4 linked regions of the Oreochromis niloticus genome follow. The protein of the gene in region 1 interacts with the protein of each later gene in a pairwise test. Links are inferred from orthologs where the notes say so. Each region holds a gene or a part of one and is shown in the gene's direction. Other genes may lie near its edges. The genes, in order: agtrap, tbrg4, syt16 and myg1.

Region 1 (7,247 bases):
GAACAAAAGATAGTGGGGGTACTGGAGGGTGGTTCATCATTCTGTGGAAGAGGCAAGTCATTTAATAGTTTAAGAATAACATTTCTCAGTGTAAAAACACAAAAAGAAGGTGAAATCTTCATCATCTTCAGTGCTCAGTATCATTAAATTGGGATAAATCTTTGTATGCAAGGGACAAGGCTGAAAACCAACGGCTGTGATGTTGAGTTTTGCCCTCAAGCAGCTGAAGTCCAGTATCCAGAAAGCTTTAGAAACCACAGCAAGTAATGCCCTCGGTTCTGAAACACTTAGAGCGTGTTGTTAAATGGAGAGGTGATGCAACGCGCAGTGGGAATCATGCTTAAGTGTTTCTGGCATCAAAGTCAAATTAAGCATATGTTTGGCTTCGTTTTTGTTTGTTTTTTGTTTTTTTTAAATCCCCCTTCTCCTATTTATATTTTAAACTTTCTTGGAAACAGGGTTGCTCAGAATATGTAATTAATCCCCTTCCACCACTGGGCCAGAAGTTAGTTAACTAGTCCCTTTCTTTCATTATCTTATATCAGAGTTTTAAGGAAAAAAGATAAAATCTTTATGAAGATGAAGACTAAATGGCTCTCTTTGATCGATACACTTTGTAATGTAAGCCTGTTTCAAAGAGAGCATTTTCCTTAATATGGAGATTTTTGAGGGACGAAAGAAGCACCATCTATCTTCATGTAATAAGATAATCTGCCAGCTACACTTAAGTCTCAGAATGCTTTAACACAAAGCTTACGACACATTAGAGCAAGTGCAAGAAATTACATTCAGTTCAAATTACACAAAGCCTCTGCAAATCTATCCATATCAATATTTCATTAGATGAAGAAAGTAACACAGATTTTTCTTTCCTAAGCACCATCTCAGTTGAACTACGATCGTGCTATCCTGATTTACAGGCACAAAATAAAAGCAACAGTCATGTATTTTTTATATTTACCTATGTCAGAGTGCTCTGGTAGAGTGCCCTGTTGAAACCTCGCCAACAGCCAGAGAAAAGATAGATTACACACAGCCACATCCCAGTAGGGCTGCAGCTACAACAAATGCATGTTTACCTTTCTTGAATTAATTAACCCCCACAGTGTCTATTTTAAGGGAACTTTTCCAAATCAGGTTACTTCTTAGAGCACATAGATGAGCAAGAAATGAAAAGAAGTCACATGGGGCTAGTCCGAAATCTGCCTCCACTTGTCAAAACATCAAAGAAATTATTTGTGCTCAGTTCAAATATTAGTTTTTTTGTGAGTGCTGAATCTGTCTGGACAAAGTTGTGATGTTAAACTACAAAGTGTAACATTTGTGTGTTTATCCCACTGCAGTCTCATTTTCACACACATGTATACACGAGCACATTCAGGACAGCACGTTAAGGCTGCTACATTTAATTATGGAGGCTTTTAAAGAATTAATCTTTCAGTCAAAGAGAAAAATTCATTTGTGTGTTGCCACAGGGGTCAGAGGTCACATGTGGGGTCAGAGGTCACATGTGGGGTCAGGGTTAATGCTGGATAGTGCAGAGACCATATGCCAACACTGGGCCATGAATCTCGCTTCAGTGAAAAGGGCACAGAAGTGCCAAAGACTGAGTCAGACTGCAGAACAGAAATCACAGAGAGTGAATCTCATATTAACATTTTAAAAGTTCGGCAGCTGCTCTCATCCACAGTGACTTACAGCGAGCTCAAAGGTTAAATGTGCTAAAGTCCAGGGACATAATGTCACACAGGCATCGGTGAGGAAGGCAAATGGCAGTCACGTAAGGAACGAGTGATACATACTTCATGATTCTGGTCATTTAGAATAGTAAGACCCATAGGGCAAGGAGCTCTCACCCTTTGAAATAATATAATAATCAGACAAGCACAGTTTTGAATGATTTCTACAGCTTTCAGCAGCACCTCCATCCACTGATTCTCTTCCGTCATGGCGGGTGGAGCCTATCACAGCTGGCAGAGGGCAAGAGGCAGGGTAAACCCTTGACAGGTTGCCAGCCTGTCACAGCATCTGCACCTCCTGGCTTTCATCCACTGGAGCTGTACGTTTGGCAGTGTGATGACAGACGAGACTGCTTATACATATTTTATATGCTGTAAGTGTTTCTGTGGTGATATATGATTATGGCTATTACATATGTTTTTGTTAAAAACTATACTTATGGACTGAAAGACAAGAAAAACGTTTTCCACACCAGCTGTGTAAGGTAATATAGGAATGCACCTGCAAGATCTTTTGACCGGACTGTGATTTAATTGGACTTCACCAAACGTCTTCAGGAATCTGGGATCCATAAATCCATACCAAATTTCCATGTGTTCTCCCTCCAGTTGTTGAACTAAATAAAGTTTTAGCCTACTTTGAAATCTGATTTAGCAATAAGAAAATCCTTGTGAATTGAGTCCACATGTTGTATTCATTAAGACTCAATTATCATCAGAAAAGTGTTTACTAAGAACTCAGTGACGTAGCTATAGGTTGTTTTTTTTGGGGGGGGGGATATATTGTACCAGTATCTATTTAAACAACAGGCATCACCATCTGCTGCAAGTAGCAACTAATGCTCAAAGTACTCCTTCAGTCACAACTTCCTTTAAAAGTCATTTTCACACTACTGTCTGTTAGTGCTCCTTTGATGTTATCAAACACAAAAGTTTTATGACAGTCTAATGGTCTTGTGGATACTGGATGATTTAATAATGCATGAAAACGTCTGCAAGAGTGTATGCTGATATGTTGATGTGCTGCCTGACAGTGTTTCATTAGAAGTAGCAAACAATAATAAACACATCTATCAGCATATACGTGACTACCAAACTCCTTTTTTTAATAAGCAGTGTCATTGTGGTATTCTGTTTCATGAGCTGTAAACACACAGGCTTCCTCAAAATGTGCATCGATTACGTCACAGCTGGTCCAACCTACAATAAAGCTTAATGCTGCTTGACATTAGCGTTGTTGATGTTCTGTTGAAACTGCTTTGAATACAAGTGACTGAAATAAACTTATTGAGTTCCTCTTTGGAGAGGCTGCTGGTTCACTCTCTCTGGCTGTTTCTGATATTAAGGCCCATCCATTTCATGCTGTTTAGTCGTGCTGAGTAAACTTAATAGTGTGTCACATCTGACAATGGCTCTCTGTCTTTAGCAACCGCTGATAGCTAAACCATTTTTAACTTGTTAGCTGTCCTCCATTGACCTTTGTTCTCCAAGCATTTCTTTTATATTTTTCCTTTTTCTATCCTTACCTGGGTAAAGACATGATTCGGGATGTGGATTAGCAGTTACTAAAATACAATAAATTAGCTGTGCTGTGAATGCATCTGCAAGAGTGGGTGGACTAAGCCACTTTGCCTCATTTGTAAGGGATGAAAGAGGCATCAGAGAGCTTCACTATTTGGAGCCCAGGGTGCTTGGGTAGTCAACCTCTATCACCACACTTTATATTTAGTTGACAGAATAATAATAACTCTTAAATAAAATTTTACTCGTTTAATTTTTTTAATATTAATCTTGTATTTTTTTCTGTCAGCAGTGAAAACTTCACAGATTTTTTTTAAATATTAATATACTTTTAGATAGGCCACTTAGGAAAACTGAACAGGGGTGTGATGCGAATCTGAGTACAGTTATATCCTCCCGAGAATGTGTAATAGAATAGTTTTTGGTCCATATCTTTTGACTTATTTGAGCTACTCTACTAAGATGTAATAAAGAAAATTCTGGACTTTCAATTGAAATCTCGTGTGTTTGGGTGGCCTCTTTTTACGGAGCCCCGCAGGGGACATGGGAGAAAAAGAAATTACGATGAACTTTTGCGAGATCTCCCGAGTTTGTTTTGCGAGATCTCGCAAAAGTCCGTCTTAATTTTTTTTTCTCCCATGTCCCCTGCGGGGCTCCGTACTCTTTTAGCCCCAAAGAGGCAGGAACTCACAAAGAAAAGTTCTTTTTTCAAGGTTCTCTGGAATATGTGGAAGTCTGCTGTATTGAAACTACAAAGTCCAGAAAACGGACTACAGAATGCCCATCTTACCTCACCCTAATAGGTTTTACCATGCTGTTTACCATGCGGGGAATATAAACTAAAAACACGAGTGAAATGTCATTTCAATATATAGAGAGAATATATACAGTTATTATTAAATTATTAAATTCAAGTTCTGCTTAAGGAAGTGATCCAAGAAGCACGGAAGCGGCTGACTGCCGCACACATATTTCCGGGTCTCTTCAGTTAGTTAGTAACCTTCCTAAGCAAATTTGCCAATTGGACCGCACCCCAGGGGCTGGGGGAAGGGGTGAGAGGGTGAGAGGGGCAGGAGTCACATGGGAACGAGTCAGGTTGCTGTCACATGGCTTGTGTTTGCAAGGCTGAGCCGACGGGAGGAGGGGTTTGGACAGAAGTTTGTGTAAGAAGAGAAACTGCGGTACTTTTTCATGTAGCTCTTTAACAAGTTGAAACGCCGAATCGGATCAAGGAGGAGCTGCTTTGTCCAAACAGACAATTATGGAAATCCCTGCCATAAATCTAAAGGTGAGGTTTACTTGCTGCGTTTCTGATTGCCTCGGCTTGTACGCTCAAACAAACGCTGGTTTTCAATGAAATGTCAGCTCTGTTCCTCAGTGGTAATTCCTCTGTGTGGCAACTACCTTCCTCTGCTTGTGACTCAGATCACAGTAAACTGCTGCTCTACTTTTTGCTATTAAGTAAGAAGTGTTTAAGGTAATGTTCAGGGGATAAGGTCCCTGAAGGACATTTTTGAGTGAGTGGCAGCAGGCCTTTTGACAGAGGTCAATATTTAAACATATAAACATTTATTTTCACTAACGCTGTATTTTGGCAAACACTTTAAAAACTCATATGCAGTGAATTTGGAGGGAATATTAAATTATAAACTGATGCCTTTGATTAACTGTGAAACTGAACAGGGACAAAAGTGTCATTGTGCTCTGTCCACAGAATAAAATGGTTCAAATGTAATTTTGGACAGCTCTTTCAAGGATTATAAAACCTGTGATGTCAAAAGTAGGCTTGAAGGACACTAACACTAACTAATATCCTGTTTTGTGTAATATCGTGTATTTTTTTATATTCGTGCAGTGTATTCAAAACGGCAGAAAAGATTCAGTCATTCATTCATTTTTTCCAAATCAATTAATTTTACTTTGTTTCACAGAATTGAAGAAAATCATATGTATAAAAAAAATGCAGTTTGGCAGGGCTGAAAACAATGACTTCAGTCTTCTTAGAGGGCTAAATAAAAAGAAGAAATCATTGCTATAGATTAGCTGATGATCTGAAGCTTTTAACTGGTGTGTGAGTGATAGATAGTTCAGTGTAAACACATTTTTGTCCTTCTCTATTCCAGGCCATCGTACTGGTGCACTGGCTTCTTACAGTCTGGTGAGTATGAGCACAGGCTTTTTTTCCACAAACCTGAGGAATTTCTCTCCTCTTTTGGCACACAGACACATGCTTATACTCCTGATTCAGGTCAACTCTTTCACCTACATGTCTCGTCCTCTGTGAAACTGCACGTAACTCTCCTGGAGTGTGTAAGAATCTGTCTCGTATGAATTGTGTGTTTCCTTCAGGGGGAGTATGGTGTGGCCGCCAGTGGCCTTCACATTGGCGAACCTTAGTGTTTTAGCAGTTGGAGTGTGGGCGATTGCACAGAGGGACTCAGTAGATGCAGTGATCATGGTGAGTCTGCCTTCACTTTTTCATGCGATCTTATGGCATCATGTGACACATAAAGTAGTCCAACTTTAGGCGCAGTGCTGCATATCTGTGCTAACCTATTTGTCTGTGGAATCTAGGGCATTCTGTGAGCATCCCTTTAAAAAATAGCCTTCCCTTAATTCAGCACACAGTACAGTAGCTGAGGACCTCAGACGGTTTACATTTGCTTAAGGAGCCATTTTATTTTAAATGTTTGACCCAAGTTTCAGAATTGCTTATACACTAACCAGTTTTATGTTAACCCTCATCATACCGTAACTCTGAACCCGTGACTGATGTTTCCATTGTACATTAGTGACATCAGCTGACTAAGGGGGAAAAAAACAAAAAAAAACGTGTGACTTGAGAATTGTTTTTTGATTGTGTTCTGAAGCAAGAACAGCTTTTATCAGATAGGAAAAGATGGGTGCAGTTGGCTGTTCTCGACTGTTAGAGAAAACTATTTAGTACCTCATCCTGACTGTGGGTCAGCAAAAGAACTGAGCCCTTCTCATAGACTGTAGAAAACGGCCACAATGGGTTGTGGTTTTTAAAGGCTTTAGTTTTGGATTGAGTTTCACTTTCTGGCCTTGGCTGTGTTCATTTTTTTTTTCTATCTTAAGTCAGATCTGACCAAATTAACATGAGCAGGCAGTGAGGAGGCGTTGCCAGCTATTGCTAGCTAGTTTGGTTAGCAAGGTGCATCCATAAAGCGTAATATTAAATGGGATGCTTATTCTGACTTGCAACAAAACAGGCTTAAAATTAACATTTTCTTAACGGAGATAGTCGATAGCATATTGCTCAAGTGTGTTTTTGTATGACTGAACACTAAGCAACACCAGATGTCAGAAAGTTTCCAGCTGCCAGCTTATGCATTTCTGCTGTAACGTTGGACATTTTAGCATGGGAACTGAGTGGCCTGTGAAGCCAACCTCAGGGGCTGCAGCTTTTGGTGCTTCAGCTTCAGCTCTGATTTCATTTTTCAGCCCCAGAACATTTTAGTTGTGTGTTCACTGCATAAATACATTTATGCTGATGCATAATATTTAACTTAAAGTCCACCTTTGAAGGCTTCAGGCTTTGGGTGTTTACAATGAAGGGATGAATCTTGAGCAAAAACTAGCTTTTCAGTTTGTTATTCTTTGACAATTTTGACAGTAATGGTTTTGGTTTGACAGTTTGACAGTACTGGACTCTGTCACTGTACTGAACCTGTGGGAATTATAGACCCTGGGATGTAACCACAGGGGAGCCTTTTACCTTGTGTACATTAAAGTCCAATGTCATATTCACTCATGTCCAAGACCTATCAAGAAGACTGGTGCACAAGTAATTGATAAGGAGGATTCCTTAGCACTGAGTGGTATTTTAACTTAGATCAAACACTCAGCCAATCAACTGCAGGTAATATAGTCCATTGTATAGCTTTTCCAGTATGGTGAAGTCCTGGCAGCATTTTTCTCAGGTGCCTTAAGTAAATTCACTTGTATTAGTTTAAAAACTTTAAA
Region 2 (7,068 bases), on another chromosome or scaffold:
AGAGGAACCGCCTTTGTCTTGTTTAATGTTGCATAATAAATAATAAATAAACAAGAGTGAAAACAAGACTGAAATAAAAGATGAGAAATGTCTTACTTTATCGACACTGGTGGTGTACCTCATTTCAAGCTCTTCAATTGTTATTTCATGGTCATCCTGCAGAAGGAGACAGACAAAATTACAGATTCAGAAATCTTCCAAAGGGGAGATAGGAGCGAGCTAAGGTTATGTACTCATATCTGAATCGATGCATTTTGGTCAGATCTCAACAGCAGCTGGAATAAGTCATAAAAGTCACGTGGAAAGTCATAGGACCTTTAATCAAGTAACGCCCAATCCATTCTATATGATTAAAGGTGATAAAAGAACAGCTTTCTTAAAATCACTCACTATATCCATTTCTTTCTTCATGCCCTCCAGCTTTTCCTTTTTCTTCATCTTTTTCTTCTTCTTCTTGTCCATCTCGCCATTCATTTCAAACATGTCGTATGAGTCCTGAATGCAGGTAGATATGGAAACAATACTTAAGTCCATATATTTTTGATGGTGAAGAGACCAAAACAAAATAATTTCATACATTTGGTATACACAGTACCCTTCAATGTGACCTATTTGTATTGCTAACATTAAACTGTTATTAAATGAGGTTTATGTTAAATTAATATTTTTTACCACCTGATTACGAAACCCACAGATAAACTGTACAATTAGATAAATAATACATATTTATTTATGTATATACCTGAAATTATACATTGCTATTTTCAACTGAGCCATTTCTGTATACTGCACAGTTGTTTATAGACATCTTTAAGCATATAAACTCCTTAGAACCCATTTATAAATATACCAGAAATGACTAAATAGACCAATTTTATTCTTTAATAGATCTACCTGCTGCTCTTTTTCACACTTAATTCAGAATATTCTGCGTCACCTACCTTCATGGTTGCAGGTGTGACAGGGGAAGGTGCTCCCAAATCAATGGAGGTCCACACCACTCGGTCCTTCTTTGTCCCCGAAATTTTGTCACTTAAGGTACAGTCCTGAACACGCACCCTGTTTCTCACTCTCTCTCTCTCACACACACGCGATCATACACACACACACAATGGTCTGAGACACAACAAATTTTCTGGGAAAGGTTTTTATACCTCAAAAAGTCCTTTTAATTTGCACATGCGCACTCACACTGCTGGAAACAGACTCGTGTTTATCAAGCAGCCTGCGTAAAATGTCACCTCTAGTCAGGTTACACAGAACACACACACACACACAGACACACACACTAGCTTATGATATGAGTGAAACTGTATTGTGTATCTCTTATCTAACCTTAGCATGTTTTTCCTGATAAACTGAATGAAATTAAAAGCAAAGAACAGTGAAGGTTAAAAGAAACCAATGTCATTCTAACCACATAATCTTAACATTGCAGTGCACCCACTTCCTCCCAGTGCTGAACAACAATCCACTTTACATTGATAGATTCAGATAAATCTGATCTGATCTAATATCTAATTGGCTGAATTTTTGAAAATTATTAACTGATTATTACTAATTATATAAGTATATAACAAAATGTAGTTCTAATGGCAAAGACGTGAAAAAACAGACATAACTAAAATTCACAGCCTAACAGCTGTGCCACAGGACCAGACAGCCAATGACGGCCTGCAGCTCCACAAAGCAAAATACAAACAGAAACATCAGAGGGAAAATTGCCTGCAGCTGGGGTTAATCAGCTGTCACACCTGCTGCCAATCTCAGCTTATCCGCGGTGCTGGAGCAGGTTACCTCGACCACAGAGGAAGGTTAATGGTGTTGGCGTGTTCACTGATGTCGCTTGCCTCCCGCTGCAAGTTGAGTGTCACAGAGACTGGCACTGTGACAGCTCATGCTCGATCGGTCTAAGCCCATATCCCCCTCCGTTAACAGCATTAACCCCTCACTACCGCCACATGTGATTAATGCACTCCTGTCTGTCCACAGGTGTGGAAAGTGGTTGCCATTTATGTTTGTTTGTGATCCCTACAGCTGCATCACAGCACTAAAAATGAATGGTAAAACCAAACAAATCATGAGCGCTAGATCACATATATGTGTAAGTTTATTGTGCTTTGCCAAATAGGTAAAGAACCCATTCAAATATGCATGTGATGTATATATGGTGTTTTAAAATTCTGTTATATGCAAAGTTACTACAACAAGTGAACGAACGCCTTTAAGGGCATTTGAAAATAATAAATGGCCAGTTCAGAGTTGATTTATGTATCTATATATATTTTAACTACAATAGCCTGTGGTCATGTACCAAACAGAGTTAAGGTCATACTGTCCCTTACCTGTTCCTACGTAGAACTCTTTGCATGCTGCGTAAATAAAAAGATAAATAGCAGGTACGATAAGCTGTGTTTAAGGGAGTCAATATTATACCACGCTGTATAATAGTCTAACAGTGGTTAGATAATCAAAGTATTTTTATCAGTTCTAAGCATGCAGTGCTGGAGGGTGATAGGTGAGAGGAAACTCTCTGCTCAGATTGTCATCTGCAGCCCCAAACATGACAGAGCCTCCGCTGTGTTTTTACAGATGTCTGCAGACACTCATTGTTGTACCACTGTCCCTTCCTCGTTTATAGATAATGACAACGGCTTGAAATTTCAAATTTTTAATCATTGCTCCATCAGACCTCTCGCCACTGATTTTTGTTCAGTTTTTGTGTAATTTGACATATATCAGCCTTTTCTCCCTGTTTCCCTTCCTTAAGCATGTCTTCATTACAGCCAACCTTCCACTGAGACCATTTCTGATTAGGCTTTAGCAAACAGTAGATGGGTAGAATAAAGATCCAGATGCATATCTCATGTTCTGTATCAGGACTTTGCTTAATTGTTTCCAATTTCATGAGAACATGACTTTCAGATACTATTCATCTGTTGTAAATAGTGTTTTGGGCTGCTACTTATTCTTTTTTCCTCCATCCAGGGCTGAACTCTTAGTCGAGGTGGCTCACCATGATTACTCAGTATATATTTATTATTGATACTGACACAAGTTTTAGTCAGTTGGTACTATAAGCAGTGGCCATTCACTGGTCGAGTAGCCATTAATTTTGCCTGAACCCTTGAACTTCTCCCTTCCTTAAAGGTTTGTAACTAGTTGTAACAAGCGAGGGCTGGTTAGTAGATTTTGCTGGTACTGTGTGTGTGTGTGTGTTTGTTTGTTTGTTTTTTCTCTCTCTCTCAGCTTTTCAACTCCACCTTTTCACCACTTTCATTAGACTTTCCATTGGCCCATTAAATCCAGGTATGGCACATTCAGACAGCCCAGCCCTGCCTCCGCCGGTCTGGTTTCCTTAAGTTTTTGTTTTTGCTGTAGCTCTTTGGAAATCACTCTGCCTGTCAAACCTACAATAATATAGAAAATGAAATGGAAACTAGTGATGGGTTTTTGTGGCATTCTGCTATAACAAAGTGCCTAAAGATAGAATTTAAAATTGGTTCTTTGCTAAGTTGTCTGCTAGGTGTAGACACAGCACTGGTTCACCCCTTTTTGAATGATTCATTGGTTGTTAAGTAGCTGATCAAAAACAAAAAAAAGAAGAAGAAGAAAAAGAGAAAGCCAAATTCCCGTGAAAAAGGCCAGGTACAAGGACAGTGCTGAAAATGAATGAAAAAGCAGCCAATGTCCAAAGAATGACTGACCCTCAGAAAATCTGGAGAACTATTGCTCAAGAAAAAAAATATGTAAGCAACATATAAAAAGTAATGCAATGGGTGGTTCAAGAGTTTTGCACAGTGCTTTCTCCTGTCAAGTGTGATGAGAGCGTTCACACCAACTGTGACGGTAAGCTAGGCTAAGTAGCTTGCAGATAAGACAGATTTGCCCAGAATGTGAGCTTCATTTCATTCATGAACCGGTGAACGTTTGGATTTGGTTTATATAGAAATGGATTACATTATAAAATAAACAGATTTAAATACAAGGCTGGTTTTTGTCCAACACTAAAGTCAAACACACGTTTTGCGCTATTGAACGCGACCTGGACTCTCGATTCTTGTCGGGCGACTCGAAACATTTCCAGCCAATGACAGCGACATCCGCGGATCACGTGACAGTGTCCGACGACGTCAATTTTCTGCGACCATCTCTCCTAGACACTTTCCATGTGAACAACTTTCGCCAAAATGATCGTAAATTAAAGGTAAGCCTTTGGTTATTTGGGTAGCCGGTGAAACTGTGCAGTGAGTCTGCTCTCCGAGGCACAGACACGAGTATTATGAGGGGAGGTAGATGGAAGACCGGCGTTTCACTGCGCCTCTTCCTCTCTACAAGGTCAGGATTCAACGTTACATGACAAGACCAGCGTATTCTCTCTGGCTGCGGGGTTCCGTGTACAGAAGAGGGATTTTAATCCGCGTTACAATAGCATGTACTGCAGAGCTAGCTTTAGATGCATTATTGACGAACAGAAAGTGCGTACCACTGGTTATACAACCACTTTTATCACCATTAGCGACACTGTTCAGGAAATCTGTATCACAAGTAGAAGATGAAACATGGCTAAAGCATTTGGCGGACTTGAAGATGTGTTAACTTGTAGTGAGATTGAAAAGGCGACCCTTTTCTTATAGCCACACTTAATGTTGAATTCTCTACTGCCCCCTCAGGTTTAAAGTGGGATGGTGACAGCAGCTGCTGAGCTGTAAGAAAGCCCTTCTTTCCTGTCTGTAGCCACTCTCTGTCTCTCAGACTCCATGGCTGGCCGCCTCCTGGGCAGATGTGCCCGTCTGCTCTGCAGATCCTCCTCTCAGGCCTCAGCTGCTGCTGCTGCTGCTGCTCGCCTACCTCTATCTGCTGCTGGGCCTGCAGAGTTTCAAAGAGCCAAGGGCTGGCCATGGCTCACAGAGAGGTCAATGTGTGAAAGAACAGCAGTTACCAAAGAAGACCACTATTCAGTGAGCCCTACTCGCACACAGCTGGACGAATCGGTGGACAAGGCAACAGTGCCAGAGGACATCCTGTCTGCTTGGGAAAAGTATGGAGGTAATGGTAATCAAGCTGCCACCGCCCTCATGAAGTGGGCCCAGCTGGTACTAAAAACGAAGGGGAAGTTTAAGGAACAACAACCAGAGCTGATGACGGATTCAAGGCTCCTGGATATGATGAATACTTTATCTCGGCAGGTACATGAGTGAGGTGTACTAGCTCTGCCCTCATCTATTAAAGTTATCAAACTCAAAAGGATTTTAAGCTTGTCTGTTGAGATAAACATCTCATGTGTCTTTGTGCATTCTAGGTGTCTTCTGTGTGGAACAGCAGTCTAGTGTCTGTCTTGCGAACTCTCTGGATTATGGGCGTTTCCCCCGGCGATCTGGTGCTCAGTTCTGTCCAGACAGAAGTCCTGTGGAGAATTCGAAGGCTGACGTACAGACAGCTGGGCTACTTGGTAGACTGGGGAGCAGGCAGGAAAGGTCAGCAGGATGTGGAACTAGTGAACGCTACGCTTAAACAACTTGAGCTGCGCTGGACTGAGATTGCTGATGTGAAAACTGTCAGTGCGCTGATATCCAAAGGAGAACACATGTCGCCAAGCTTGATGGACAGACTGGAGGACAAGGTATCACACTTCAAACAACGTTTACCTTTAAAACATGGTTAAAGTTCCAGTTTTGAAGTTTCAACTTTTATTGTCAGTGTTTTAGGCAGATTTATGTGTTTAAAAGTTTGGCCCTTCTAACTGGGTTAAAGTCATTTGCATGCAATCCCATGAGATTGCTAAATGGAGAAAGCATGTGTGAAATTTTATACATCATATTATAGAAAAAGTTGAAATATTAATGTGTTGAATACAAAATATAAAAATGATTGTGTCTGTAGTGGCAGCAGAGTGAAAGTTACTTATAGTTAGACACGGTGTCCATATAAATAAAACTCTGTACAGAGATTTTCTATCTTCTTCTTTCATTTAACTTCTTTTGGAGTATAAATATAACGTGGGATATGTTAATATATTTTGCCTCACCTTACTGTCATTTTCCTCTGTGCATTTCTTCTAGTATTATTTTACTGTTTTCATCTAACTTACTATTATCATTTTTATATTATTGCTCCATTCCCTAATCATTATTATTATTGTTTTTATTCTTCTTGAATTACTTGTATTGTTTCTTTGTTAATTTTAGTTGCTGTGCAGCTGGTTGCGTTTAATGTGCTATATGAATAAATTGATTTGACTTGACATATATTGAAATCATATGAAGGATCCTCTTTCTCCACTTTTAGGCTTTGGAGCTTGCAGAGGGCTTTTCAGGAGAGGATATTCGCAAAGTCTGTGTATCTTTGGCAGCTCAGAGGCGCAGAAGTGTCCCACTTCTCAGGGCTCTGTCCTACCACCTTCTCCAGAAACCCTCGGCAGAGTTCACCACACCTTTGATAATGGACATGGCCTTTGCATACGGTAATAACACCATAAATAATAGGCTATGTATGTGTTATCATCACAAGTCTTTATATTAGGTTTGATAAACCTGATGAATGAGGTTTGGTTGTGTTTTTTCTATATGACTGTCTGCTCACACACTCTGTGCTGCCAACAACAGAACCTTTATCATTGCTTTTAGGGAAGCTGAGTTTCCACCATTCTCAGGTATTTCAGCGAATGGCCTCAGAGTTGTTACCCAGAGTCCCTGAGCTCAGTTCTGGTGACATCACACGCTGTGCTAAGTCACTTGGTTTTCTCAAATGGCTCCATATCCCTCTCTTTGAAGCCTTTGCTGAGGTGAGTAATCTTCCCCTGATAAAAGTCATTTTCAAAACGTTGTGCATCTGTGATCTTAAATTCTCTCTCTGTACATTTTGTTTTATCAGCACTACACAGCAAACAGCGACAAGTATAGTACTCCTCAGCTGTGTAATCTGCTCATGACGTTCGCCAGACTGGGCTTTCAGCCCAGCAAAGGAGACGAGTTCTTTAACAAGGTGCTGTCATTAAAGGCTTTTGCTTGATTGTGCACATTTCGTTCTGCTTCCTAACTAAAACGAATGCTCTCTGTGGCATTTTGA
Region 3 (7,009 bases), on another chromosome or scaffold:
GTCTACATACTCCAGCAGCTCATGTTCTGTAAAGCTTTCCACTTCACCGCCACACCCTCTCTGGTTAGTTTCCTGTTTAAATATTTTAAATATATTTTAAGGTGGATCTGTTTTATTTTATTTTCAGCTTCCATGATATTGTGCCCACAGCACCCTCAGAATTCTGCTCTTGGCTGACAGGAATTGTAGTCCATCCAAGGCTAGAAACATTACATCACTAGTTAGAGTAGATATATCTTCTTTCCTTCCCCCAGCTCACCTACAATAAGAAGAGGAAGGTGGAAAGGTCGCCAATGCATGAGAATTTCATGGAGCGAGTGTCCCGTCCACAAGAGCTGGTTAACATCGAGCTGCTGGAAGTAAGTCGACCCTTCCTTCCCCCTACTACCCAAACCCCACCAGATGTAGCTACACAGCAGTCAAGCTGCATCACATTTCAGGCTGCATTTCTCTGCAGAAGCATCCTGTTCTCTCTGTGACATTAAAAATACTCAACACAAAGTGATTTTAGCTGCATAGGAGGGCAGGAAAGTGAACACAGGAATGACATGGAGCATCCTTTCAGATTTCAAAATAAAAATACTGCAAGCAGACTAAACGCCTCACTTCTAAAGGCTTGTTTATTGGTGTGTGAAAAAGGGAGTAGACATCAACGACACAACATCGCAAACAGGTATCTCTGTTGTCTTGCAGGAAATGGACAACGTTCACCAGCACTATGAGAATCTGAAGGCATCCACCCTCTCTCTGACATCAGCACAGCAAGATCCGTCCGTCAGCCTGATCCGTAAAAACCTCGTCCCTCAGCTTCGCAGCACTGTGGTCGACTTCTACAATTGGCAGAAAAGGAAGGTCTGAAAACGGAGAACATATCTCCTGTTGTTACAGTTTATTTTACCATGTTGTAGCTTCACTTTTTGTGGGTTTTTTTTCTCCACATCTGATGTGATGCTGTGTCATGTTTTGTCCTGACAGGACAGTGTGGATGAAGAAGAGGACAGCAGTGAGGGACCATCATCCCAGCAGGAGGTGAGATAGCCACTTCAGTGTCTTACCTCATGTCTCTTGCAGGTTTAGGTGATGAATAACAGGAAGTCAGAAAGCTGTTGGAGTTTTCCAAAGATGCTGTAACTTTCTCCAGAGACGCCTCTGTTGATCTGCTGTCTTTGTGTGTGTCCCCAGTGCTCCAAAAGGGCAGGGCTCCTTGCTTCCATCAAATCGAAGGCGTACGGACAAGCAGCAGAGGTTTGTGTCAGTGGATACAGTCTTTACTGATTTTTATATTTATTGTGACAATTTATTATTTTATATATGTTTTTTCCCTCAGGTCTCCAAGTCAAGGCGTCATCGCCAGGTGGAAGTGGATTTCACCAGTAACGAGGCCCCCACGTTAGGTCGCTCCAGAATAACCAAGCCGTCGCTCAAAGCCAGAACCAGTGAGAATCTCCATATTTCAGGTAATCTTCCTGTAACCACTAAAAATACAACATTTCCTGATCTTAAACATTTCACACCCGTTCCTGCTTTATGTGCGATCCCAGGCCTTGGCCATGATATTGACAAACAGGAAGGACTAAGTTTGCATTAGATTTTCTAAATAAAACCCTTCAGTAAGTTGTAGGAAATTATTAGCATGCTTTACGATTCCATATTTTAACAAATAAATAAAAGCCTATTATTGCTATTCCCCTTCTGTTCTTTTTGGGCAATTTATTTACCTTTAACTTGTCCAGCAGTTGCAATAATCCCACTGCAGAAATTCATAGTCAAGTGATGTAACAACAGCATAAATGTTAAAAGAAATTAGTAATTACAGCACACATTTTTTAGCATTATAAGCTCTATATATTATCTACAGTGAAGCTGCCTCCGTACTGAAATCCATTTCCTTGTTGCACGTCTTTGAAGTTTCTGACGACTGTTCACTTTCTGTGGTCCCTGGTCACCACGTTGCTGTGGATCACTTTCATTGTGGATGTAATTAAGTCTTCCGAGGCACCGGTAAAATTAAACAGTGACACTAAAGTGCTAAAAAAACACGCAGAAACAGGCTGTATTTAATCTATAAAGCACCTCAGTTAGACTAATCACTGCACATGTATACTATGCTTTATAATTTTCACCTGCTGATTATTAAAATGTTTCCATCAGTGACAGAGAAATTCCAGAATTTTACTACATGGAAACTCTTTATGAATGAATCCTTTGTACTTCTCAGGTGACTTGTGGACGGAAGCCATGACAACCACTAAGATCAGTCGGCTTGCACAGCTCGAGTCTGCTCGTGATGGTGCGTGATTAGGCTCTTTTATATTTCATGTGTTTGCTCACTGGCCCCTGCTGTCTTTTCATTGGCTGGCTTGTGTTCTTTATGTTGTTTTTCTTGCAGATAAACCGAAACAGTACAAAAAGTTCAAGTGGTCCTGAAGAAACTGCACAACACTGGAGCTGCTGTTCAGAGCATTCACTGAAGTCTGATATGTGCTTTGCTATTATAATAAATCATGTTGACATCTTTACCTTTTTTTTTTTTATATACATGTTTTTAAATTATTTTTTAATCAGTTCATTGGTGGTTAAATTACAGTTACAGTAAATTATTGGAAACATTGTTCATAGTAAAGCTTATCGCTATGTAACTTTCTCTCTGAAGGAAACACCATCTGCTGAAGCATTTTCATGTTTTATATAAAAACTCATTTTTTACAGTTACAGTTGTCTGAATCTTTCTTGTGTAACATTCCATGTGTTTGAAAATGTGGACATCTGGTTTTCAGTAGCCTATCTTGCTGTTTAGAATAACCTCAAATGTGTCTCTTGTAATTCATTATCTTCTTTTTGCTTGATTTGTTTTTCCTCGCAGTGCTTATAATTTTTGGGAAAATGCCAAGATGTTAGTCCTTGAATTCTTTAAAACTGATAAAAACAGCTGGAGGGATGTTTGTAAATTCAATTTTAGCCTAAGCTAGTTGTTGCTATGTTAATAACTGGCTTACGTTTAGCAGCTTTAGAACTGTAAATGTACTATTTAACACTTTGTTTTCATTTTTTGACATTTTTAGTAATTAATAAATTATTTATCAATTAGTCCATTACTTAATCTATGACAGATTTTTTTAATATGACTTTTATATGCTTGAACTATACATTTTGACAAAATGAGAGCCCAGACCTCACCATTAGGCAGCAAACATCCAAGAAAGCTGTGGTGGAAAGTCTGCAATGAAGTCAGCTGTGGTCAAGCTTTTTAATTACTGCATGCAGGAGAGCAAAACAGACATCGACCATCACAGTTACACAGTCAGGAGAGCTCTGCTCTTGAGACGTTGCAGCTCCCTTTTCACACACAACTCTCTGTATCGTTTGAGTTACAATAGTTTCTTGTCTACCTGTGCTGTTGCTGGGCAGAGCGCGTTCACACTATGCTCCAGGAAGCACCCGGCACTTGCCTCCCTGGGAGTTTCATACAGTCAGCAGATAACATGGTTAAGCAAACTAAGCAGAGCATATTGACACATGCATCCTTCACCTAAGAAATAAAAGGCTATGCAAAGTTCTACAGTGAATTTGTAACCACTTCATCTAAATGTGAGAATAAAGTAGAATTTTGCCTTCACACGTCTTTAGAATGTCTCTGAAGAAGCCTGGAGAACTGTTCCTGAAGACTATTTAAAGAAATTCCAAGAAAGCTTGCATAAGGAAGCTCAGGCTGTGTTGAAGATTAAAAATTGTAACACTAAATATTGACTTTCAACCTTATTAGAACTGTACAAACTCTGCATTTTGATGTGTTTGCACAAGACTTTTACATAGTACTGACTGTATGTGTGAAACAATATTGTTAAGTCATTATAACTTACACCTATTTGCCCCCCCCAAAAAATAATAATAACCGGGACATTTTTAATTTGCAGATCACAAAATATTGAGTTGTAAAAAAAAATAATAGAATATTTAAATTGTTGAAATGTCCCACAGTCAGTGAACGCCTCACCGCTCACCGCTGTGTGACTGCAGATCTGCGGGTCTGGAGGATGAGGAGCGGCGGGGATGCTTGCTGCCCCCTCTCCTCCGATGATACATCTGATTCTGCTCGTAGTCTGAAGGGAAACAGCCTCAGCCATGGCCTCTGACAGTAAGTATACCCACCTCCTCACCGTGTGACTGCGTCTAATGTTTTTGGTTTGCTTTTTTTCTCCCTGTCTCTGCTGTTTTCAGGCTCCCCTCCTGGTTTATTTTGACTGACTGGGAGCGCCAGTACATGAAGGCCAATTTATCAATTCCTTTGATTTGCTACAGATATTTTTCATATGGAGCGAGACTGTTGCTCTTTAAGAACCTTTTTCAGTCATCATTTAAGCGAATTTAATTAATTATGTCATTCGTTCTGCTGGGGCTTACAGCAAATTTGTGATACTCCGGACAGTTAATAGTTGCCTCATCATGGCCACTTCAAGGACGCCTGTTTTGCTCGCACAGTTGGGCATAATAGCTAATTGCACATGAAGAGCATATAATATGAGAGATATTGCAATATATATCTGTAAGGACCTTGATAAAATGTAGCGGGATGTGCTGGATGTTACACGGGGTTTCCCTTTCTTCTGCCAATGGGTTTCCCAAAAGCAGAGCCTCCCTTTAGGCTGTTCTGTCAGTCAGGCGGCGCAGGTGGTGGAGACAATGATGGTTTGTCAGGTAGCGAGAGAAGTAGGTCAGAAACAGACACAGAGACCTCGTTTTGTTTCATAAATGAAAGCCAGAAACACGTGCCATATTTTACTATCTTTCATTTTAATGTAAACTGTTGCATAGAAATAGTTTGCAAGTTCAAGTTGAACTGTCGAGTTACCCTGTGTCTTTCAAGCAGAGTATTAGAACTACAGAACTACAACATGGCATATTCATACATTTATTTATTCATTCAAATAGAGAGTAACTCAACAGGTGTACATATGACACAACATGAGAGGCCTGCTCTTCAACGACTTTAAAACTGTAGCCCTTTGTATGCAGAAATATTTTGCTGTCACTATTGTTAATAATAAAAATTAATTTTGAGGAAATAGATGTTGGTGAAATGCAACAAAAATGCAAGCCATGTTAGGGTAAAGAAGAATAAAGGCTTATGTGCAGGTCGGTTAAATCATGAGACTTCAGATGCAGCTCCAAAAAGCAGATTCTGTTCATCTGGGCGTAACGTTTTCACTGGGAGTCGGGGGTTGGAGGCTGAAATATCCTGCAGCAGTAAGGCCCAATGGACATGTTAGGTGACAGGCAAAGTGTTGTTATTTTTGTTGTAGAATTTAGTTTACTGATAAAATTTTATTTAATATGTTTTAGTGTGCAGTCGATTTACTTATACAAAACAAAAAAATCATGGGCACTGATGCATGCAGGAGGACATTGCAAAGCATAAGTGTGCTTCCTCATGCTCAGGCCACATTTGCAATAGGTATTGTTAGCTCTATTTCATATTTGTCAGGAGGCTTGACTACTAAAAACAGTCCTTCTGTCAAGATTTAGAGGACGCTTACTTTGACAGAAGGAGACCAGACAGTTGCTTAAATACATGCAAGTGTGGTATGTGTGAGAGACCACAGGCAGGTTGTAATGTTAAGACTTAGTGTCTTTTTTTTAGCCTGGTGATGCTGATGTGAGTAGCCGTTGTATTAAAACCCATCCCAGATGAGAGACTGACCAATGAATGAGCTTATTTCTGCTTAAACTGGAAGTTGTCCTACATGAGCTGCCAAAAAACCTTTCACATACAGTTTACTGTGTCAGCTGTGACTGTGAGAATGAAAAATATGTTACTGAAAATGAGAAACTCATCTGTAAGTCAAGAATGATTGGGAATCAAAAAAAATCAATAGATGTGTGGAACAGCAGCTGAGCCAGAGACTTTTTGATATAGCTTATACTGGATGTTTACAGAGAATCTTAACCTGTCAGTGATGCTAAGACAAGATTCAGAACAGCATCAAAGCAATGCTCAGCATGCTCCGCAAAACAGTAGGAAGCAGTTAGCCATGCACGAGAGGCTGTTTCTGGTTATTGTGGCCTAGTTACAGACTGCTTCAATGTCTTATTCATGGCTCTCTCCTCCCCGCTGTGGAGGAGGGCTCTGAGTACTATCTAATGTTGCTGCTGCTGCTGTGTGTTTGTGTGTGTGTGTGTGAGATTAACAGTATGAGGACATTTAAACTGCCTTGAAACCCATTTTTCCCCCTTTTTTTGAGAATAAAGGCCTAATGGTGGAGTTATAGTATAGTACCCTACTAGAAAGCAGACCCACATAGTCAGTCGCTGTTGCTTTGCCTTACAGGCTTTTTGAAGTCACTAAACATTTCTCGTAAGGGTAGATATTAGTAGAAAGTAAACTGAAGCTACAGAAGGTATCGGCCACAGTCAAAGGTGTCCACAAGGGGGCACAAGAGTTCTTCTTTGGCTGTCCGGCAAACAGAAAATTTAGGTCCACTATTCTCTCTGGTTTAACTTTGTTTGGGGGGCTTATCACCCTATGATGAGCGCAGTGTTCCTCTGTGTTCAGTAGTCTGTCTTTAGCTGTCTCTGCTGCTGAGCAGGTAGTGTGTGTGGATGATTTATTGGCGCTTGTTTGCTTGCTGCAGCTCGAATGGCTAAAACCTACGACTGATGCCCACATTAACAATGAATAATGGATGAATCCTGGACTATTTTTAATTGCTGACATGCGTCCTGCTGCATCTGAGGGCTAGCAGCACCTGTCCAGTTTAACACTGAGCTCAAAGCCTGGTTAACCTGTGCGTCATGCTGTTTAGCGTTAGCGCGAGTATCAGTAAGGTAGATTAATGCATCTCTACAGTTTGTGCTCCATGTAGCAAAAAGGAAAAAGCTTTGTTTTTATATGTCTTATAATACTTGTGTCTGATACCAGAGCGTACTTCTTTGGCCACTTCAAAAAACATTTTTTAATAACATCTACACTGCATCATGGACCTCTCTTGCATTATCAGTTAATCCATTTTAA
Region 4 (7,407 bases), about 6.0 Mb from region 1:
CAATGAAAAAAAAAACCCATATCTGCTTTAATTGTATGTCCTCAGTAGTTACTGTTTCTTCTCACCACGTTTGTTCTGAAAAAATAACTTTGGAACTCATTACATTTTGCCAAAAAAGGAGTTCTTGCAAAAGTTTTTTTTAAAAAAAATCCATTAATATTAATTTTGCTACAAAGTACAGCACTACACACATTTATACTTTCTCTTATATTTTGCATTTTGCACCAGACTTGTTTGTATTTTTTAAAGTGGTCTTGATCATAGGTTTTTAAGTCTTTCTGAAGCCTTTCAAAGTTTTTCTTTGGATGGACACTGACTGCTTTTTCACTCATTTTCAGTCCAGTCCTTGTTCTTGATCATTTTCATCTTTTTGCTTGTTTGTTTGTTAAATCCCATAATACAAATCACTAAAGCATAAAAATGCACTTAAGACAATTGATGAACCACTGTTTTATCTACACATAACAGACAACTTGGCAAAGAACCAATTTTAAATTGTATTATTAGGCACTCGGTTACTAACAGCCTGTAACAAAGACACAGTTTGTTCCTCTTGCTTTAGTCGAATTTATGACACTATAGAAAGATGACACGTTTGACAGGCATGAAATCATATTTTTGCAACAAGGTGATTCCCAAAGCGCTCTTATGTGATCTTGCAGAAAACCTGGTGTATCTGAGCATGAGGTGCAGTGTGTTCTTAAAAAATTTGAGGAACCTGGCCAAGAAGAGGACAATGAAGAAGTGGCAGACCTAAAAAACTCTACTTCAGATGGGACGTTTTTCCATTTTTCAGCATGATAATGCAGCAGTCACCAAATACACAGGTACACAGGTTATGGTAATTACCTACTTGACCAACTCACATATTAGCTGTATTAAGAATCACTAACTTAACTGAAAAAAAGGAGTCCCATAAAACTAAGATGGAGAAGGACTCACCAGTTAGGTCAGGAGTGAGCTGTCCATGGTACTGTTTAGAGGCTACAAAGTCCAAAAGCAATAATGCACCAAATACACTCAGTATACCTGGCAGCATGGACAGAAATAAGACGATGCTTAAATGTTCACAGGTAAAAACAAAACAAAAACACAACAAAATAACTAAATTCATTGTAAATGTTTAGCCTTGTGATATCCTGCCCAGGGTTTACCCTGCCTTTTGCCCTATGACTATGGATGGATGGACAATTGGACGTTTTATTTTTCCATTTAAACTGAAACAGCTGAATGTCTCCTTGGCATAGGATGGTAAATGCCAAAATGTTATTTCTATACATTTTCCTGATCCCAGAAATACACTCATTTAACCTTTTGATCACTGTGCTTTTCCCTGAAATGAGAACATAAAGGATCGGACTGGTTTTTTCCCCACCTTTAAAACAGACTGATAGGCATAACTTCTTACATTAACCATGTTCTTTCACCCATTATTTCATTCATTCATTTTTAGTACCACACATATAGCATATTTAATAAAGCTTTAACAGCATATAATATAGTATTATATATGCAATTGCGAGTGCTTGAGTTCTATTAATAGTATGGCTGTTTAATGATTTGGAGGTGAGCACGACGTTTGTTTGTTTGTTTTCTGTTTGTCTCATATCCTTTAAATCTCTCCGAGTAGAGCTCCGTTTCTGCGGGACACTTAAAAAAATCCCCCTTAGTCTTCCATAAAATACAAGTTGTGTATTTTGAGGAATAACATTGGGGCTTCAGAGGAAATACATAGAATGATGGAGTGTGGGCGTCGACTGCTTAAGTCCCTTTACAGGAGAAACCCTACACCGGCCTCTCTGTGGACTCCCCCACTCCAAGTCAATGTTTATCGATTTCATTAGGCTGAAATAAAGACTTGCCAACGTGCCCGCTGAACTGGTGACACAGACGATGAAGCAACTTGGTTAAATGACTGGGACACAGCGCCACCTGGTGGTTCGACCTCAGACAAACATCGCAGCAAATATTCTCTGACTGTATTTACCGTTTTAAATGTGTCAGACTTCATGACTCATTGTCCCCATATTAAGGGAACATCTGCATTGCTAAGCAGCTGCAGTATGAATTGATGCCAGTGATACATTTGCATGCGATCATTAAAACTGGACAGGAAGAATATATTACCAACATCGAGAGAATGAATGAGGCTCTGCAGGAAGCAGGCTGTGCATTCATAACGCTAATACAAAATCCTACCTTTTGCAGGCTTGCTGTTTGGTTTCCGCTGGTAGATCGGTTTGTAAAGCAGGAAAGAGCAGCGGTTTTTCACACGGGAAAGCCCTTTAACCGTGCTACCTCCGTTCAGCCCTGCTGCTACTACTGGGGTCCCATCTGGCTAATTACCTTGTCAATAAACCTTGAAGGTAATACCGCGAGAACGAGAGTTGGGGGTGAGCGCTGATCCTGACCCTCACTAATGATCCCATCCCAATTCCAGCATGGCAGGAAAAACAGTCCAAGGCAATAACTCAAGGTTTCAATAATATTTATGCACGTGTCCATTCATATTAAAAACCTGTCACTGTATTGTAGATTTCATTTAAAAAGGAACAACAGTTCGTTGCGCCTCAAGGTGTAAAACAGTGTAGAACAAAGCTGACCAGGAAAATGTTTATATGCATTTATATTTATATGTATTTATTCATATGCACATGTCTAATGCACTAACCTTTTTACTGTGATGAGACTCTTCTGTTGTGTGCATCTTTTTTGTTGACATTATCCTTGAGATGGAAACTGGACAGTGATTGGATGTAATTTAGAAAGACACACACCCATGAGCTTTTCTCAGGACAAACACTAAGCCATCAATCTCCAAAGATGACTTTATCTACTCTAATGAAAGTGTGGCGAAGTGTGCGGGGCAAAGGGTAGAAAACCTTTTCTTGTGTCATCCCAGCAGGAACAGTGGCCTAAATAACTGTGAAAGGAAAAAAAACAAAAAGGTTTGTAACCACCAAGATCTCAGGTTGCACTAAAAATGCACAAAGCTGTGAATGGCTGAAAATAAGACAAATGGACTTTCACCTCATCCAAGAGGTTTTTTCAGTTTTAAAATAACTGATGGAGAGTCCCAAGTATTTAATACATAGTGGAGGCGTCAACCTGGAGGAGATCCTATGGGATAACCCAGCTAGGTGTTAAACCTGGAGTCTCCATCAGTTGTAGAACTGAAGATTCCTCTTGAATGAGAGATACAACGTCTTCACAGACAAAAAATGCACAGCCTGTCACAGTGTCTGTGTTGCTTTTTATTTGATCTTCTTGTTCTATCGGCTGCTCATCTCATCTCAGCATGTCTTCCTTCGCTACATCTATGAACCTTCTCTGCGTTCAACCTGTTTTCCTCCTGCCTACATATCCATCTTCAGGATCCACTGAATAGTGTAAACTATCCCTCTTCTGTACATGTCCAAACAGTCTCAGTCTTGCCTCAGTAACTTTGTGTCCAAGATGCTCAACCTCAGCCCCATCACATTTCTGTATTTTACCTTCTTGCTTCTGTTTCTTAGATTTAAAGTGTGCATGTTATTATTTTCTAATGCCATTTCCCTACTCTTTTGCACAATCTCTGTCTCATTTCTTTTACATTTTTCTTTAACTTCATTTTTTTTTATTTTCATCACTGCTGTATATATCAAATAGTGCTAAACATTAAAAATAGATATGAGATTATTTTTATTTATTTATTGCACTACCTCACACTATAGGCCTGAAAGTCTTCATCTCTGCCTCTTGTCATTTTGTCACTGCCACCTTCTCTATCCATACATCACAGCACATCTCATTACAATCTTGTAAACTTTTCCTTTAAATCTTGCTACCATCCTTCTCTCACAAATCACCCCTGACTCTACACCCTCTCCACCCTGCCTGCACTCTCTGCTTCACCTTTCTTGTGTACTGTCCCCTGCTTTTGATAGTTGACCTCAGGCATTTAAACTATTCCACCTTCACTTCACCTCCTTGTATCTTTTCTTGCCTCTCTCATTGACAAAAATCTATTTTGTATGAGAATACGAAACAGTGAATCCTTGTAAATTTAACATAATTATTTTTTATTATTATGTAATTGTAGAATATATTTTTTAATAAAATAAATCATGTACAGTAGTACATAATTAACCATTTGTGCATTATACAGTGTCCAAGTCCTGCTTTTTTTTTTTTTTTTTTAACCCTGCAGCGTCCTCTGCTGTACACAAGTTGAGTTATCATTCTCCTGTAAACGAGCTTCTCCGATAATATAATCGCTCTGATTACCTGTGTTGTTGTCACCTGTGTTGTTTATCACTGTCTGCGTGAGTAATTTAAGCCCATAAAGGCAAACAACACAACGGTAACAATGGTGACAACAACAAAAATGTTACCCGGCATTTTTAGTTCTCTAAACAGGAGCACCACATCCGGTCCGGCTGTCAAATGTGTCCGCCACTGGCGCGTCTCGTGGATTACTCTTTGAATGTTGGTCGTGCGTGTTTTTTCGTTGGCGCTTAAATTAACAAAAAATAGATATTTTCTGGTAACGAGTGAAGCAGCAAGTGTGTCACGAAAGGTATTCTCGCGGTTTAGCTGCTTTAGTTCGCCCGTGCACTTTGCTAAAGGAGAAACGCGCTACATGTCAAGTGAGCCGAAGAGACTCTGCACCGAAAACATGACCGTTACAAAGATCGGAACCCACAACGGGACCTTCCACTGCGACGAGGTTCTGGCTTGTTTCTTCCTCCGGCAGCTACCCGAGTACTCGGTGGGTGCAGCACGCTGCAGATTGATGGAAACATGTTTGGGGTTATTGCTAACTCCATGCTGTGCGTTTAATTTTTTAATGTAATCACTGTGCTCATCGTTACTAGCTAGGTAGAATTTAAATCCTCCCAGGAAGTCCTCACCGTAAGGATAAAGCCACATCTGCATTTTAGGAAAAAACAATTAATCTTGTAATCTTCTGTTGACGGGTCCAGTGTTATGCAAAAAAAAAAAAAAAAAAAAAAACACACCAAAAGGGGGCGCTGTGTGTAAACGGATAGCAAAAACGATTACAGCATAAGCCGTTGTATGGTGAATATGTCACACATTTCAGTGTTATGGTCTGAAACTGAAAATACAGTTTTTGTGTGTGTGTATAGCCAGCTTTGCAGAGCATTTGAGTGAATTTTTTAAATAATAGTTAATCTCAACCTAATGGCACCTTTTGTCTCTAAATGGTACAATACTTAATATGGGTGATAAAATAATATTGATCAGATACAATACTGATCAGAGATTTGCTGCACTGCCCTAATAAAATCTGTGACCAAACCCAGGTTATAACCTGTCGTAGCTGTACCGTTGTTTTGTGGCACTGTATTGTTTATATTTGTAATTTTTATAATTTATATTAGTAACATAAATACCATATTTGATTACCTCTGCACGTCTGTGATTTATGCGTAGTTTAACAGAAACATTTTGATGACATATCTGAATTGACATATACTTTATACAGTCAAAGCTTAAAGGTTGGACCTCCAAACACAGTGCTGGGCTTCTATGGTCTAATTTTTCATGTGTTTTTTTTCTTTTCCCTCTGATGAGATTGTTGTAATGGTCTTTTAACAGGTATCAATCAGAAAGCATTAAATCAACTTCAGATGGTGAAAAATGCAGCAGCCTGACTTCTTAGAAGAACCAGGAACACTGAACATATTACGCCACTCTTAATGACTCTACATTGGCAGGCCATTACTTCTAGAACTGATTTTCAGATTATAGTCATTACTTTTAAAGCCCTTAATGACCTGGGCCCAGAATATATACTAAAACTACTGTTCCCGTACCAAACACCAAGCAGCCTCAGATGCTCAGGCAGAAACGTGTTAACTGTTCCCACCTCACATTTGAAGACTAAAGGTGATCGAGGGTTTGCTCTTTGGTCTCTTTAGTTGTTGAATGACAGTATCTTCTGCTCTCTGTCTTCATTAGTGTCTTCTTTTAAATCCTTGTTTTTAAAAAATAAATTTGATATAAAATGAGATTGTGTATGTTTTTCTTTCGATATTCTTTTATCATCCTGTTCTTTTAGATTTGCTAATTTGACGTTTTTCATTACATTTCGAGTCTTATATGCCTTAATATTTATTTATTTGTAATTTCTTTTTAATTTCATGCTAGTTTGTTTTTTTTATCCTGTGTTTCTGGAAAGTAAAGTGTTATACAAGTAAACAAATAATAAAATAATTATTATTATTAATTTATTTTGACATATATTTCTTTCTGTTTGTTGCACAGGATGGAGAAATCGTTCGCACCAGGGACCCTGCACAGCTGGCGGAGTGTGACATTGTTGTGGACGTTGGGGGAGAGTTTGACCCAAAGAGGCACCGCTATGACCACCATCAGAGGTGCAGTTCTGGCAGTAAGCTGCTGAAAAGAGAGAAATTTATAGCTGTAGATTTCTAAAATATTATGTACTCTGAACTAAGACTGGGGGAGAGATTAATCTTCACTGTTCATCAACAGTAAGGGTCAGGATCATATCACAGATTAATTTTATGCCAGCTGAAAAATTGCATTTCAAGTTTAAGATTAAACTCTTGTTTAGTCCCAAGTGCTGAAAAAAACTCGGTGTTGCATTTTATTACATAAACAAATGTTGTTAGAAACATTATGGCCCAATCAGATTAGTGGTGTGACGATATCGGCCAAAATGAGCTATTCATGTTTTCTGTCTGTATCGGTAGTTTTAAGGATCAATAAAAGAAAGTTTTAAAAGGTAAAGAAGATACAGGAGAAACACCACTCAGCCATGTTATGAGTGTTGATGTTACATAGTTTTTCCAACAGAGGGAAAACTCTATTTCCCTGTCGGCCACTCTGTTTAGGTTTTATTTTTCTAAAAGTAAAAACGGCTGACATATCAGATTATTGGATTTTGAAATTGCCAAATATTGGTATCAGACTTAACAATCCTATATCGGCCAGACTCTAATATACGTATGTACCAATGGAAGGAAGCGTAATCTTTAAAGTCTCCAGTCACTTCCAAGCACTGAGGTGCACCATCTCCAGCAAGCCAAAATAATTTATTGGAATTATTACGCCTGGATTTTTCCCGCTTTAACATCGTCAACGTACAGCCTTTGGGATTTCTTTTCATTATCTGAGCTCTAATGATGAGGAACTACATTTCTGGGTGGCTTCTGCTCTGACATCTTTGAAGCACCCTGATTGCATGAATCATAAAGTAACAGGCTCTGTTTTTTGTGTAGAATTTCTTCCTGATGATTGCATTCACTCGACGTCTCATCACGTTGAGTAATCAGCCTATTCCAGGTGTCTTGTCAGCTTAATGTCCTGATGATAATCAGCCATAGCTTTTATGACCACTGCGATAAAGATATGCCAGGGCTCTCTTCCTCGCAGGCG

Evidence for each region.
Region 2: the proteins of agtrap (region 1) and tbrg4 interact in binary tests that used the Homo sapiens proteins (3 or more experiments, as listed by UniProt). The two-hybrid records come from large-scale screens. The link is inferred for Oreochromis niloticus from reciprocal best matches to the Homo sapiens genes AGTRAP and TBRG4.
Region 3: the proteins of agtrap (region 1) and syt16 interact in binary tests that used the Homo sapiens proteins (3 or more experiments, as listed by UniProt). The link is inferred for Oreochromis niloticus from reciprocal best matches to the Homo sapiens genes AGTRAP and SYT16.
Region 4: the proteins of agtrap (region 1) and myg1 interact in binary tests that used the Homo sapiens proteins (3 or more experiments, as listed by UniProt). The two-hybrid records come from large-scale screens. The link is inferred for Oreochromis niloticus from reciprocal best matches to the Homo sapiens genes AGTRAP and MYG1.

The regions. Positions count from the first base shown.
Region 1 is NC_031970.2:11,712,578-11,719,824, reverse strand, and holds the start of agtrap (type-1 angiotensin II receptor-associated protein), read left to right. Parts: upstream 1-4,222; 5' UTR 4,223-4,521; coding exon 4,522-4,548; intron 4,549-5,383; coding exon 5,384-5,418; intron 5,419-5,609; coding exon 5,610-5,718; intron 5,719-7,247. UniProt on the Homo sapiens protein: Appears to be a negative regulator of type-1 angiotensin II receptor-mediated signaling by regulating receptor internalization as well as mechanism of receptor desensitization such as phosphorylation.
Region 2 is NC_031976.2:19,413,208-19,420,275, reverse strand, and holds the start of tbrg4 (FAST kinase domain-containing protein 4), read left to right. Parts: upstream 1-4,054; 5' UTR 4,055-4,207; intron 4,208-4,673; 5' UTR 4,674-4,760; coding exon 4,761-5,189; intron 5,190-5,302; coding exon 5,303-5,623; intron 5,624-6,288; coding exon 6,289-6,463; intron 6,464-6,626; coding exon 6,627-6,784; intron 6,785-6,873; coding exon 6,874-6,984; intron 6,985-7,068. Other genes in the region: potassium-transporting ATPase alpha chain 1, read right to left, coding at 97-156, 391-495, 942-947. UniProt on the Homo sapiens protein: Plays a role in processing of mitochondrial RNA precursors and in stabilization of a subset of mature mitochondrial RNA species, such as MT-CO1, MT-CO2, MT-CYB, MT-CO3, MT-ND3, MT-ND5 and MT-ATP8/6. May play a role in cell cycle progression.
Region 3 is NC_031983.2:5,188,656-5,195,664, forward strand, and holds the start of syt16 (synaptotagmin-16), read left to right. Parts: upstream 1-4,002; 5' UTR 4,003-4,122; coding exon 4,123-4,135; intron 4,136-7,009. Other genes in the region: snapc1b (snRNA-activating protein complex subunit 1b), read left to right, coding at 1-63, 255-359, 694-852, 976-1,029, 1,183-1,245, 1,328-1,457, 2,219-2,290, 2,390-2,427. UniProt on the Homo sapiens protein: May be involved in the trafficking and exocytosis of secretory vesicles in non-neuronal tissues. Is Ca(2+)-independent.
Region 4 is NC_031970.2:5,668,020-5,675,426, reverse strand, and holds the start of myg1 (MYG1 exonuclease), read left to right. Parts: upstream 1-4,400; 5' UTR 4,401-4,465; coding exon 4,466-4,750; intron 4,751-6,270; coding exon 6,271-6,383; intron 6,384-7,407. UniProt on the Homo sapiens protein: 3'-5' RNA exonuclease which cleaves in situ on specific transcripts in both nucleus and mitochondrion. Involved in regulating spatially segregated organellar RNA processing, acts as a coordinator of nucleo-mitochondrial crosstalk.